Linked DNA regions of Nothobranchius furzeri. The protein of the gene in region 3 interacts with the protein of the main gene of each other region in a biochemical or structural test. Links are inferred from orthologs where the notes say so. Each region holds a gene or a part of one and is shown on either strand. Other genes may lie near its edges.

Region 1 (4,783 bases), on a different chromosome or scaffold from region 3:
AATTGCATCAAGTCACTGACTAGTGTCAGTGACTATACAGCAATCCTCATACTAAGCAAACATAAAGCGACAGTGGAGAGGAAAACTCCCTTTTAACAGGAAGAAACCTCCAGAGAATCCCGACTCAGTATAAGCAGCCATCCACCACGACTCACTGGGGATCGAGAAGACAGAGCAGACACACACACACACACACACACACACACACACACACACACACACACACACACACACACACACACACACACACACACACACACACACACACACACACACACACACACACACACACACACACGCGCACGCACACACACGCACACTCACGCACACTCACAAAGACTAGTAATGCGTCTATAGTTATATTGTGATGTCTTAGTAAATATTCTATTTGGTGAAAGATAAACTTCATTTGTATTTTTCCTCGTGAATCTATAATTAAACGGATAAACTAGCAGTAGCACATCCAATGTCAAGAAAAGTAAAGTGTTATTATCAGGAGAGGGAGAATGTTTAAGTGGTTAGCAGCAGTGTGCTAGTCGATGGCCCCCTCTATGAGGCCACCACAGCTCAGCAGAACGTCGTTGTAGCTTCTTCATGGCACAACCAGTAGGCTTTGATCACTGGACCTCAGGGACCTGCTGGGGGTGTAGGGACTAAGAAGATCACCAATGTAAGATGGTGCTTGTCCATATAGGGCCCTATAGACCAGAACCAGGATCTTGACCTTGATCTAGAACCTTGATCCTGACACTGCTTAGTCAGAATTTTGATGGGTTTCTGAATCAAACCTGAGGCTTTTTTCTCTATAGTCTGATGGCCAACACCTGAGACCTGAGAATTCCTAAAACGTGCACCAAAGCATTTAGAAAATGCAAAACTGTGTCCCAACAAGGACATTCATAGGATTGGATTTTGTTCAAGTCTTCACAGAATGAGACTGTCTGAACTTCCTGTTTCCACACAATAGAACAACTGTGTTGTAAACTCACCTTGGCAGCCTTGTTGGACGCAGCTGCTGCTGGCAGCCGCTTGGCAGCAGTAGGAGTAGTTGCCTTGGGTGCAGGACTTTTTTTATTGGCTGTAGTGGGGGAGGGGCGTTTGGCCGAGTTGGCCTCATTATTGGTGGAGAGGTTGGATGGACGCGATTTGGCTGCGTTTGTTTTGGTTGAACCCACATCGGGCTGGTTGATGAATGAAAGTAAAACAAGCCATAACAGCAATAATTAATGGGAAATAATCAAAAAGAGAAGGAAAACAAAAGACGAAGGAGGAGGAAAAGAGAGAAAAAAGCAGCAATGAAATCACAGCAATGACAGCATGATATGGCCGCAACACCTGCAAACGTATGGCAATCATACAACAGGTCATAAATGAACACATTTAATGATCACTTCAGAGTAGAGAGCTAATGAGAAGTAAGTCACAAAAGTATCAAATAAAAAAAGAGAGAAGCAGTTTGCAACTCAAACATGGACAGGAAGTAAGGTTCAATTCACACGCTAGAGAAGATCCAGCAAAAACACTAAATCAGCACAAAAAGAAATGCAAAAGGTGTCCATGAACCTTTACTATATAAATACAAAAGTATTACTGTTGTAGAAGCCTTGGAGTGATTAAACCATTTCTGTAACCACTGAATGTAGGATGGGTGTGCTGAGAGCACTGTGTGTGTGTGTGTGTGTGTGTGTGTGTGTGTGTGTGTGATTCAGACACACTGACCTTGCCCTTGCTGTCAGGACTTGGCAGAGTCTTGCTGCCGTTGCCTGTAGGAGACTTGGCTGTACCTTTTCCCCCCTTATCGTCCTTCTCGGCCACCTTCTTCTCCTCCTTCTCCTCCTTCTCGTCTTTGTTCGTCTTCTCCGGCTTGTCCACTTTCTCCGGCTTATCGGTTTTCTCCTTGTCGTTTATCTTCTCCACCTTTTCTTCCTTTTTGAGGATGTTCTCGGGTGTCTTATTTACGTCGGTGTTAGTCTCTTTCTTCTGCTGCTCTTCTTTCTTGTCAGAGGTGTCGATCTTGTCTACCTTGCCAGACGTTATGTCTGCCTTCTCCTGCTTGTCCTTGTTGTCGGATTTCACTGCCAGAGAGACATGGTAAATGTCTATGAGTATTTTAACAACATTTGATATGTGGAAGGAAAATCCGAGATTGATTATTTAGTAAGATCGTGTTTTATTGAATGACTAGGAACATGTTTTTTTAAAGACAAAGTTCACTGAGAAATCGTTTTTGCTTGTTATTTTTGAAAGTTTCACATGCAGGCTAAATGAGAAAATAGTATTCTACCCTTATTTCTGACATTAGCCATGTACATGAATAATCAAAAGGGGAGAAAATTCGATCCTTCTACTTATTTTTTAAAAACAATTGTATATGTGGGGTCAGAGAAGGTGGGTGTTGCGACCGCTTTAAACGTTCTGTCTCACGATGGCTCGGCCACGGCATGGCTGCGGGTGGGGTATGTGTGTTGCTCATTTTCCCTTGGATGCAGCCCCCTTTTCTAAGACGTTCACCCCTTCCTCTAATAGACAACACTGTAAGACAAATTTTTGCTCTCTCTCTTTGGGGGTTCAAGAAGGAATGGCAGCAAGAGTATAAACACAGTGTGAACTCCCTGCTGGGAGGAGGCACTCCTGGGGCTGCTTTGGGAAGAATCTCTGGACAGTTTCCTCATTTTTGATATTGCAATATTGAAACTAAATTTTTGATAGAATCATAGACTGCTTTCATTTTGCTTCATTAAAAATTCCACAACAGCCGCGACAGAAAATTGACAGGGTAACACTTGGACTACAAAAGCCAGTCGATTGCACGTCAAATAGAAAAGTATTGCTATGTTCTGTTCACCTTTGCTCTGGCTCACTTTTAGCTCCTGAAACAGGAGCACCAGAGTATTTTTTTCCCATCCAGGAAACATTTTATACACTAGACCACTAAAAATGGATTAAAGACACATTTCACAACTTTTACACTTAAAGGTTTTGGTGGGATATCTACTATATTCATTTTCAGAGCTGTGATAGTGCTATGAGGTCCCACGTCTGTTTACCGCAATATACAGTGTTTGACTAGCGGTCCACCGCCAGAAGTACTGACTGCGCAAACATACACTCCGTAGACATGAATATGTAGACACCTAATTGGGCATTGGAGAACGTAACAGCCATGTTGGATGGGTCTCCTCACTCTCCAAAGTCAAAGCAAAGTGAGCAACTATGCCCGTTTTTATGCAGCCTACAGTTACAACAACCGGCGTACAACTGAAAACAGATCACGTGGGATTACTAGTGAGTTTTCTAGCCTACCTGATAGGATTTTATATTTAAATACATTTTTAATATTATATTTATATTTGAATTATCATGGCATACCTTGTGTCTGATTTTGTGAAAAAGCTTGATAAAATAGTTGGGTAAGCACCTTTCTCAGGAGAAATCAATGCACTCGTGGCGAATGGAGACCCATCGAAAATGGCGGCTGGCCACTATGGCAGCGCCAGTCCATGGGGCGTCTACGTCTACATGTCTGTGGGAGACCCGTGGTTCAGAGAACTGGGCAATGGCAGATCCACTGAAGAAAGCGAGAAGTCCTTTATCAGATGAACAGGATCTGCTCGGGTGCCAGATCGGCTCGGGGTCCAGCGCCCGCTGATGACGTCACTGTACTGCGAATCTACTCGGCTTTCACACATACGTTTTGGAAAAACATCAGCAGTTTTGTTAATAAATTCTTGTTTGTTAACACCTACATGTTTTCTTTATAATTGTAATTTGTTAATAAAACACCATATTATCTTTGTTTTGTAAAGAATGTGAAACTGCATAAAACCAACATCGGACTGACAAAAAAAGACAACAGTTCTTATACGTGAAGCCACATCTGTTTGTATTAATGTGGAGTTCGTCTGTGTATTTCCTTAGTTGTGTAAATACATTCTTTGATTCAAAATGTTGCTTGGTGTCTTTTAATAAAATTCTTATATTTTATTTTGCCCCATTTCATCAACATCAAGAGCTTTTGATGGTCACCGTTTATCGTTTGCTTTTATTTCACATTTCCTTTGGAAATTCAAAAATTTTTTCTCCAAAAATTGTTGATTTATGGACTACAGGACTACAACCGCTAAAGCCTGATTTATGCTTCTCCGTCTGCGTCAGTGCGGAGACATGCAACGCCATTATCCGTCCTTGCGTAGGGCTCCGGCAGGCATGCAAGTACGTACGGAGTCGAGCCCACTTTTTTAAACATCCGTCAAACGAGACGGATTACGCAAGCTTGTGATTGGTCAGGCCGCCGCTGTTGTTTACAGCGCCGCCATTGCAAAGAGAGCCGAGGATAACTAGCGGCAGACACGGAGAAGCTTGAAGAATACCTCGCGAAAAAACTCTAAAAATATGAACGTTTAATTCTCCCGTGACTGGAGGAGTGAAAAGATACGCAGCAAGCGTTTTATTTGTTGACGGAAATGACAGGAAACGTGGGTTTAGAGGTGGGGAGCGCATGAAGCGGTGGGAGAATGAGAGACAAATATGTCCGTGTTACAAGTCTCTTATGTACACAAAAAACACAATATAAACACACGATCCTGGACCGATACATGACAGGACACCACAGAACAGCGCTACGCCCTCTGTTGTCCTGTCGGGCAATTGCTTTGCAACACTCTCCAGGGGACGGAGAAGTATGAGAGCAAAACGCTTCCGTCAATCCGTGCGTGTCTGTCCCTTGCGGAGCTGACGGAGAAGCATAAACCAGGCTTAAGACTACGACCGCAAATTTGTTCTG
Region 2 (4,783 bases), on a different chromosome or scaffold from region 3:
AAAAAACAAGTGAACTTGGTCTTAAAGTAATAAGCCAAAACTTGAAAGTACAAAACAAAGCCTTACAAGCTCTTTGCTGAAATTTCACTGCTCTTTTCTGTACGTGACAGGCTTTCCTCGGGTCTATTCATACCTTGACAGCATACTCGGTGTTGGTGGTTTTGTGGACACATCGCTTACAGACAGAGAAGGAGCCCATGCCTATGTCCTCCTTGAGTATGTACCCGTCATTGAACAGAAGGTTCTTTCCATGAAGCTGCTGCGGAAAAAAGGGAGATGAAAGTTTGAAGAGAGGCGGAGGAGTGACAGGCTGACGAGGGCGGATGACGGTGACGCTGGATTTATCTGTGGGAGCACTTCCTCTCTGGTGTCTCTAAATCTACATCAGGCAGGAAAATACTGGTACTTGTGGGCTGCTATAACCTTTTGAGCTTATATTGACACAGACATGTATCACGTGTGATTAACAGCGGACCTGGACCACGGGGTGTGGTGTGGGCTGCACTGGCTCCACTAAACCTTCTTCATCCAACAGATTTGATGCAACAAAGCTGAATCCTCTGAATAGCTGATGAGCTCCAGCACTGGGAGGCACGCCAGGAGAGTCTTAAAGAACAAAAAAAAAAAAAAAAAAAACATCAGTCTAATGAAAGAAAAGCTATAGAGAGAAAATAATCTACTGTTTACAGCACTTTGACCTCTGACCTTTCGGTGTGCGGGATGTGAACTCGGAGTCGAAGTAAAAGGTGTCATCTGGACGTGCTACAGCTGGCCTGAACGGGGGTTTTACTTCCCTTCTGAAGAGTTTCTGAAAGCAAAATGAACCAACTTTTACTAAAAAATGTAAAAAAAGATGTTTTAAATTTTCAACAGATCCTTTTATTTAAAAAATGATCACAAATAAAATTGAAACCAGAAACTCACGTTCCAGTCTATAGTGGAGAAAAAACCGTGGCGTTTGATCTCCTCTGCACCATCAGCTCCCGATCCTACATGGATGATATTTTGCGTTGTTGAATCTTTTTTGTAAAACTGTTTAAATCATTACTTAAAGAGTTGACACCGACCCAGTCTGTTGACAGGGTTCCTCTTGAACAAAGCCCTGAGCAGCGACTGGGCCTCGACACTCAGGAACTGAGGCATTCCTAAGCGCGCCCTGTGTTTAGACAGAGCAAAGATTTCAATATGGCCACCATCATGTTTCTTTTATTCCAGTGTTTTTACTTACTTTAAAATCAGGTTCATAGTTTCTTTTCGGTCCTTCCCTTGAAACGGAAGTGCTCCTGTCAGCATCTCAAACTAACGGAGAGAGAACTTCAGTTATTTAAAGAACTAAATGAACTAGGGATGGGGGGGGGGGGGGGTCAAGAAAGCATTAAAGTAGGAAGAAAACACCCAAACTGTCCTTTAAGTTTCACTTTCATTTTTTTTAGGAAGTACACGGATTAAAAACTTGACGGGGCGTATTGAGCACCGGTGCTGCAGGAGAACTAGAAACTAGAGGTGCTGAAAAAAATCGATTCAGGTCTGAATCAGGATTCTTATTTATAAAGATTCAGAATCGATTCCAAGAACTCAAATATTTGGCATGTTACAGGTTTGAGATGCACTTTTTTGATCTTTGTTAGGAGAGTCAGTACTCCGTTTACTTTTGTGGTCCCATAAATTGAGATGATTTATGTTTGAATCTGCTGATAAGAGGGCACTTGAATGTAATTTTTTCCATACTCAGAAAATAAATATGAGAATATCTCAAATTTCTAAGTTGATAAATGAGTACTCAGGATTACTCATGTAACTTGTTTCTACACATAGTATTTGACCGTATTACTTTCAAAGCTACTGTTAGGTAACTACAGATTTGTTATATTTTACAAGGTAAGCAAAAATAAATGTTGCCTTTTGGTCAAAAGATTGCTTCTGTTTACAGTTTTAGAATCACTTTTACATTTTTGGAGCATGACCAGTTTGAAGTCAGATAAAAATGTCCCATAGCTTTAACTAACTTGTACATCAAAGTAGTTCACCCTGGAGCTGACACTCTTAGTTAATACTGATTGTGAATCGATTTAAATTGAGAACCGAGAATCGATTCTGAATCGAATCGGCACCCCAAGAATCGCAATCGAATCAAATCGTGAGTTGCTCTAAGATTCACAACTCTACTAGAAACCCCGATGTTTTGCAGTCTGTTGACAATTTCTTTGTTTATTAGCGTAACTTTCTCTGTCAGCTGGCTCCGTGTTTTGGTCTGACTTCACTGAGAACTGTGTTAGAGGCAAACTGGGGATTAATGGCGACCAGTGATTTGCTTTGTTGATGCCCAAAGGCAAAAGCTAACAGCAAAAGTAGCTTGTTTGAAGGCAGCGAACCATGGAGCTGTCCTTACCAGCATGTTGAACGCTCAGTATGCACACATGACAAGTGTCTGTAGCTCTGCCTTGGCTGTCTGGTTTAAACTAACGCCAAGCTGCAGATATTTTAGCTCTCCTGAGGGGACACGTTAGCTTGCTTGGTGTCCGAGTCCTTGCCTGCCATAAATTGTGTGACGTTACTGTGTTGTTTTCGTACAAGAAACAAATATTGATATAGAGGGACTTATTGAAATGAAAACAAAACCATTTTTATTCAGTTTGAAAATCTCTATCTCAGGATGAAATTAAAAAGTCATGTTTGTTGTTTTATCCAATTTATTTCTCCTGATTCCGATCCTTCCAAAAAACGAATCGGAGCGTCCCTAAAACGAACAACTTGAAATAATAAATTCTTCTCACCATCAGTACTCCAAACGACCACCAGTCGGCGCTGTGAATGTGACCCTGCCTGTTCACCACCTCCGGAGCCATGTACTCTACAGTACCACAGAAGGAGTACGCTTTCTTTTCATGGTCGATGGCTTCTTTGCACAAACCAAAATCTGCGCGGAACAGAAACACAAAGCTCAGTCCCACAATATCAACATACGCGTGTTGCGTTAAACAACAGAAGCACTTCATCATGGGTATTTCATGTCTGAACTTCCAGAGGGTCACCTTGGGATCAAAGGCTCGTAATGGAGATAAGATAAAGAGTAATAATTAATGTGAGGGAACAAGCACTGGGCCTGTATGGAGATATGTGCAGTCAGAAAGATAAAGCTGTCATGGAGCGATGAGTAATGAAGGTCAACGGGGCAGAGGAGATTTAAGAGTGTGTGTGTGTGAGAACAGTAGACTCACCTGTGAGTTTGATATGACCCTCCTCATCCAGGAGAATGCTGTGAAAGACCAAACTGTATATTCATTTAATCTGTAGTGGAGAAAATTTCTGCTTTAGTGGGAAAACGTGTTTTTACTTTTCAGGTTTGAGGTCTCTGTAAATGATGCCCAGGCTGTGGAGATGGTCCAGTCCTAAAGCCAGCTCGGCCAGATAAAACTTCACATCCTCTTCTGTGAACATCACCTAGGAGTAAATCATACAAGTGATAAAAAGTTGTACCAAACAGATCAGACAAAATAGATGGTTCATTTTTTAATTTAAAGCCCCAGTCAGTAAAAACAATTCAACTCTTTAGCGAAACGCAGTTCAGGGTAGGTATTGCATCTACGGTAGCCCACACACATCAAAAAGGCCATGCCAAAGCGCAAACGTGAAATGCAGAGCATTATATCTTTTATGTCCGTAAGGAGCTCCTGTATTTCAAGATGGCGCTTGACAATGGAGGGTCAACTACAGCTTATGTATGTAAAAATGTAAAATTTTACGCTAATAGGAATAAATAAAACAGATATTGATGAGAAATATTAATAAAAAAGGACAATTTTATAGTAAATAAGTAAATATATTACAGACTGTGCTTTTAGGGATTCCCCTTTACCTCTTTAGAGAGCCGTGTGAAAAGATCTCCACCTCTGAGAAAATCCAAGATCAAGTATAACTTCCCTTCAGTCTGGAATGCTACAGATGAATATTCAAATATAAATCATCAAGCATGCACAGCTCAGATCTTAACGTTAAAACTCAAACAGTAATATTATTATCTCTGTTTAAGTGATTTTAATACAGCGAGCTGGCTCACCGTAGTGCAGCTTGACAACAAATGGGTGGTTGACGTCTGCAAGGATGTTTCTCTCCATCTTGGTCCTCACGCGGTCTCTGACTGAAGGACAAGAGTAAAAAGTCAATGCATTTTTCTATAAATTCTTCATCTGTGTTATTTGAAAAGAAAATACAAGAGAAGATGGTTTGTTTCTTTTATTCTTTTAAAAAGAACCCATTTCCAATTAAGAAAATCAACAGAACTCAGAAATACGCTATGAAAAGTTTAGATAACTTCTTTTAAAGTTGCAGAAACATGTTTATCGTGTCTTGGTGACATTAACTCAAGCAATATTTTTTTTCCTGGAATTTGAAATAAAATGATTAAAAGATGTCTAGATTTGAAGACAGATGTAAAGTGAAAAAAAAAAACAATTTGTACTGGAAATTTATTCCTGTTAATCAAATAAAAACTACATGGATTAATTAATCTGTGGAAGAAAATATGTTCTATAAATTAAGTTAAAATGCTGCATGGTGGTGCAGTGGTTAGCACTGTTGCCTCGCAGCAAGAAGGTTGCAGGTTCGAAACTCGGCTGTGGCCTTTCTGCGTGGAGTTGCGTGTTCTCCCCATGCAAGTGTGGGTTTCCTCCGGGTACTCCGGTTTCCCCCACAGATCACAACATGCCCTACAAGTTAAGAATTGTATGTCGCTTTGGATAAAAGCGTCTGCCAAATAAATAAACATAAATAAAAAAATAAAAAT
Region 3 (5,370 bases):
TCTCAAGAGCTTGAAGTGAGTTAACTTGTCAACAGTTTACAGGAGGAAAAATATCAAGATATATATCGTATATCGGAATTCAGCTTAAAGATATCGAGATATAAGTTTTGGTCCATATCGCCCAGCCCTAGTTTAACTGAACAATCACACGATTATAAATCATAGTGCATTTAGTGGCAACGACAGCCTTAAGACATGCGTTGAACGTGCCCAAGTCCATACTTTTGAGAGCACCATGTGAGCACCTGTGTGTGTACACGCGCTTGTTTATGTAAGGTTTATCTATAGGAGCGTCCAATAGAGAGTGTGAGGGACCACAGATCTGCCCCCCAAAGATGCGTAAGAGACGGGGGGAGCTCCAAGTCCCAGAGATCCAGGCGCTGCCCCGGAACACAGGAACCCCAAGGAGACTGCAACCAGAAAGGCCCCCGCCAACTCGAGAGGCACAGAGGGTCGCCCCGGGGGGCCACAACCAGCAGCCGGCAGAGCCCCTGGAGATCTCAGCGGCAAGCCCACAGGCCCGCCCGCAGCCTCCCACCCCCTAGCCGGCCAAGCCTGGGACCCAGCGACCCGGGACCCAGGGGCGACCACCCCCGCCGGGGACCCAGCAGAGCCCAGGGACCCAGACCCCACCAGGCAGCCACCGGGATTGACCAGGCAGATGCCAAAGATCTTAAACCCCCTGACCCGGCAGCCACGAACACTCAGGCAGACCAAGGCACCACACCCCACACCAGGTGTGGCAGGGGGAGGGGAGACGAAGATCTATATCATAAAAAGAAGTCGCAGGAGAACAGAGGAGTCAAAGGCCCCACCTGACATATACAGTCATACACAAACACAGTCACACACTCCCTCCCTCATGCTCACACATGCACATACAACCAAAGACTTACAAAAATGCACGCCGGACACCCACTCATGCTCCCCATACACACACTATTCACTCTGGTCCTGGTACTGCTGCACATTGGGTACAACCATTACCGGTTACCAGAGTTTGACCCTTTCTGCTGGGGTACTGATGAGCAGGTTCCCCCGCCCAATGCTGAGCACAGCAACCCACCACCCCAGACCCCAACCGGACGCCCAGATCTCCTTCCTAGCCTCCAGCCCCAGGAAGCCAAGCAACAACAAAGGTGTGCTTAGACCCCTAGCCTCCCTCCGCCGGCTCCAATATAGTGTTGTGTGTTGATGGGGTGTATTCCATGGCTGTGGTGAGCAGGCAGTGCGGGCATTGTCTGGCATACCACTTCAACTTTAGAACAAACTGGGCTGCATGGTGGCACAGTTGTTAGCACTGTTGCCTCGCAGCATGAAGGTTGCAGGTTCAAAACTCGGTTGCGGCCGTTCTGCATGGAGTTGCGTGTTCTCCCCATGCATGTGTGGGTTTCCTCTGGGTACTCCGGTTTCTCCCACAGATCACAACATGCCCTACAGGTTATAAATTGTAAGTCGCTTTGGATAAAAGCGTCTGCTAACTAAATAAACATAAACATAAACAAACTACCAGAGTCCCAAAAAGATACACACCATTTGAACTCATGGACAACTAAAGACGTTTGGACCTAAAAAACTGCGACACTCTTTTTTCTTCCGGGAGTGTGGATTTCTAGTTATGGCAGACGTGGCACAGGGGCGGTAGTTTTTTTTTTTTTTTTTTTTTTTTTTTTACAGGGACTGTAGTCGAGGGGAGGGGTGAGAGAATATTCTAATTCACTTTATTTTATTTTTTGTTCATGTTTTAGTTTAAATAGCATCAATTTGCATGTCCAGCAAGTCAACTTACTTTTTTTATTACAACCAAGCAAAAAGTCAATTTTCAGTTTTGGACGGTATTTGGATTACTGTTTATTACAATGGCCTTTCAGATATACAGTACATACCCTTGTTTAAGATATGCACTAAAACAATCGTCAGTATCGGTCAACAGCTACTCAGTGATACCAGCTTAATTTGTGATCAGCTAATCTGAAACTCAAGAAGAGACTGATTCATTTTTTGGAACAAAGGTTGCAAAATCTAAACATTTTTCCAGCCCATAAATGCACAAACACAAACCTCGGTTTTCCACCAAATGCGCAAGTTTTGCGTAAAATCCGAAAAGCACAAGCTACTTTGCTTCCACCGGCGACAAAGCGACACGCCTTGAAAGCGTTACAGAAGCGTTGTGTCTCGTCTCTTTGCTAGATTTATGCTTTGGGTCTACTTTTTGTCAAGTTCAACATTTCAGATCAGGCCAGACAGGAAGTCAAACATGAAAGCCATGTAAAAAACAGGAAACTTTCAAAATAAAAGACTCATACAGAATTCCACTTGCTTAAAAGAAATACATCATTACCTGTGAAACCTGTGTGGCCACTGGCCAAGGTAAAGGCAATCAGAAAATAAACCGCAGACCTTTTGGATACAAGCTGACATCTTTTTTTCTTTGCTTGTTATCACGTGAACTGCTGAAATCATGCGTGGTCTTACAATTCTCTGTTGCCTTCTTGACCTTGTGGGACCAGCTGTGTGAAACACTTTTGCTGTCAGTTTGAAATGCTCCTGGTGGGAAGAGGCGCAGGGAACACGCATCCATTACGTTATGTGCCGCTTACGCATCTGGTGAAAAACCCGGGTAAGCATTAATTCACTCAAGAAAAACCAGATCTTCCATGTGGAGTGATTTTTTTTTAATTATATATTTCATGTTAATCATTTTAAATAATAATAGTAAATCTGGTAATTATAGTACTTTGAGAAATCTAAATCTGCCAAAATAAGTATCGCCTGATCACATGTACAACATCAGAAATCTGTATTGGTTCACAAAATCAGAATTGGTGCATTTCTGCTCGTTTTGTTTCTTGTTTTTCTGCCTCATCATCAGAAAACCTTTTTAGTGTAATTTTGTGTCAAAAATATTCAAGTTTCTCTCATTAATATAGGAGTTAAATAAGCATGTCTATCTGTGAATACGTAAAGTTTACTTTCTTTTATTATAAAAACTGTTTGGGAATTTAATCAGGTTGGTGGTGAAGTCCCATCCAGCCTAACAGGGTACAGCCACTTCTGCAAAACTGGAAAAAAGTCACAGCTGTCTTTTTTATTTTTTTTTTATTTTGTGAGTATAAATAAACAAATGACTGCAGATTAACTAACTTGCAGCTCTTAAAAAAGCAACATTCTGACCATAAAACTTTCAAAAGTTACATTTAATTGCTGTTTTTGATACTTTGATACTTTTTGATGATAGTTAACTGTGCAAAACTATGAAGCCTAACTCACCTAAATAGTACTTCATATTATTAGTGTAACCACAGGAAGATAGTTTACCTTTGATACTAATTCCCAGTCCTCCCACATCTTGCTTGGTAATGCGAACGGTGCGCTTCACGTTGGTGATGGTTTCCGGGACCGAGGACGAGCTGAGGTTCGGGGGGTCTCCGTTGACAGCACCTGCGGGACTCGGAGCCGGCTTCGCGGGCTCCTCGACGCCTTCTCCGGGGTTGACGGTGAGTGTGTCCTCGGTAAGTGTCGCCAACACCCGGACCCAGCGGTCCACGCTCAACCGAAGTTCCAGGAGTCCCGTTTTCTGCGCCTTCATCGCGGCGGCCATGTTCAGTGTTCAACACATTCCTGGAATAACTCTAGACGGGCTGGCTGTCCTGTAGAGGGGGGCTGGGGTAGGGGGCACGCGCGCGGAGGCACACACACACTGGCGCGCGCGCGGTCTTTGCTTTCTATTCCTTCATTCAGTGGCAAATAAAGTTATCTGTTCTACACACTCAAAGATCAGCCTATATGAACAGAGTGTGGTTGAGTCATTAAAAACTGTTATTTATTGTATCTGTTTATTTTTTTATTGATTTATTCAGTTTTCCTCCAGAAAGAAAATGAAATCAGTTTGGAGCTGATACACGGAATCTCTGATTAAACAATCCAGAAAGTTTGTACACATCAAGGTTTGCCGTCATAGCGAATTAAAAGTACACACGCTCTGTCTTTGTTTACATTTAAACATCTGTTGCTTTAAATGTTTGAGGGGGAATAAAAACTCATATTGGAGCAATTCAGTAGGAGTGCTGACCCCACAGAAGACAATGAGTACAGACACTATTTATCATCAACACACTCATGTTTTGTGTTTATTATTGAAGCAAAATCATGGTTTTTAATAAGATGTGTTTGGGGTTGCAGCTGTTTGGTCTTATAAACTATTAACTTTTGATAGACGTTTGTCTTGCCCACTCATTGTGATTCAGCACAGGGACACACATGACAACATAAATGACTCAATGCTGCAAGCTGATGGAACCGTGTGTTTTTGCTACTCTTTTGATTTGCAAACTAATCTCCCAGCTCTTCGGCTGTGTGTGTGGCAGGCAGCACGAGTTCATCTGTCTCACAGCAGGTGGAACAGCAAAAAAGTTCCAGCATCCAGTTTTAGCGAATACTTCTGGGTGGGCTGTTGAGTTTACTGTTTCTTAGCACATCTTTACCAAACCAAAACAGCTGATTAAGCTGGCGTGCACACATTTTAATTATTTGTCCTATTACAGTGGATTCAGGTTTCTGCTCTGGAAATAAACATTTACCACCGAAATTGGTGAATTTCTCACATGCTGCTACAGGTTTAACTTTATCAGTCTTCTGTCGCTCCCTAGTGGGTGGATTGGTTTGTTACATCAAAACAGCCGAATGTATGCATAAATCAAATTTTAGATTCTTCAAAACACTATAACACAAAACCCTTGAATGATATTGTATTTTCTTCAAAAGAGAGAATGAGCAGTGAGAATGTCGGATTAAAGTTAAAATTAGAATGCTGTTACCCCTGATATTTTATTGCATATTCTTATAACAACACATACTGTGATGTTATTAAGGGATAAATCAATTTAATCTGTCAGGGCATCGGATGCATCACAGTAATAAGGTCAAAATGCCATTAAGGCACATAAAATGTTTGCATATCTAAGCCAAATGTAAAAAGGAGAATTGCATTGTTCATGTTGATATTAGCAAATGTTTTATCATCATTTCAATACACGTGTCTGGTAATGATGGAGTTTTTTGTTTTGTTTACTTTGATGGGGCCATAGGCTGAGAAAACCTAAGACACAATGTGAGTGTAATGAGATAATATCCATACTAATAAAGAGCAGAACAGTTGATTAATGCTCTTTTTTAATGCTAATATAAATGAATATAGCTATAAAATATTCAATATTTTTTTCCTTAAACACAAATTTAAATTGTTTTTTCACTAGATTTTTATTTCTTTTTAGCATTTTCCAGGAAAAGACTATAAATTGATATTTCACACATAGATATGAATGTGTAGAGGTAGAGCTTTATTTTATTATATTTATATTTTAGCTATCA

What was found.
Region 1: the proteins of snta1 (region 3) and microtubule-associated protein 4 interact in a test that uses a peptide from one of them, tested with the Homo sapiens proteins (2 studies listed by BioGRID and IntAct). The link is inferred for Nothobranchius furzeri from reciprocal best matches to the Homo sapiens genes SNTA1 and MAP4.
Region 2: the proteins of snta1 (region 3) and rps6ka1 interact in a test that uses a peptide from one of them, tested with the Homo sapiens proteins (2 studies listed by BioGRID and IntAct, with this or other methods). The link is inferred for Nothobranchius furzeri from reciprocal best matches to the Homo sapiens genes SNTA1 and RPS6KA1.

The regions. Positions count from the first base shown.
Region 1 is NC_091751.1:59,305,061-59,309,843, forward strand, and holds part of microtubule-associated protein 4, read right to left. Parts: intron 2,076-4,783; coding exon 1,720-2,075; intron 1,182-1,719; coding exon 990-1,181; intron 1-989. UniProt on the Homo sapiens protein: Non-neuronal microtubule-associated protein. Promotes microtubule assembly.
Region 2 is NC_091758.1:28,123,723-28,128,505, forward strand, and holds part of rps6ka1 (ribosomal protein S6 kinase alpha-1), read right to left. Parts: intron 4,139-4,783; coding exon 4,058-4,138; intron 3,937-4,057; coding exon 3,857-3,936; intron 3,442-3,856; coding exon 3,335-3,441; intron 3,257-3,334; coding exon 3,219-3,256; intron 2,918-3,218; coding exon 2,775-2,917; intron 1,300-2,774; coding exon 1,229-1,299; intron 1,157-1,228; coding exon 1,068-1,156; intron 990-1,067; coding exon 925-989; intron 809-924; coding exon 706-808; intron 607-705; coding exon 476-606; intron 260-475; coding exon 134-259; intron 1-133. UniProt on the Homo sapiens protein: Serine/threonine-protein kinase that acts downstream of ERK (MAPK1/ERK2 and MAPK3/ERK1) signaling and mediates mitogenic and stress-induced activation of the transcription factors CREB1, ETV1/ER81 and NR4A1/NUR77, regulates translation through RPS6 and EIF4B phosphorylation, and mediates cellular proliferation, survival, and differentiation by modulating mTOR signaling and repressing pro-apoptotic function of BAD and DAPK1.
Region 3 is NC_091743.1:60,374,134-60,379,503, reverse strand, and holds the start of snta1 (alpha-1-syntrophin), read right to left. Parts: upstream 3,650-5,370; 5' UTR 3,602-3,649; coding exon 3,319-3,601; intron 1-3,318. UniProt on the Homo sapiens protein: Adapter protein that binds to and probably organizes the subcellular localization of a variety of membrane proteins. May link various receptors to the actin cytoskeleton and the extracellular matrix via the dystrophin glycoprotein complex.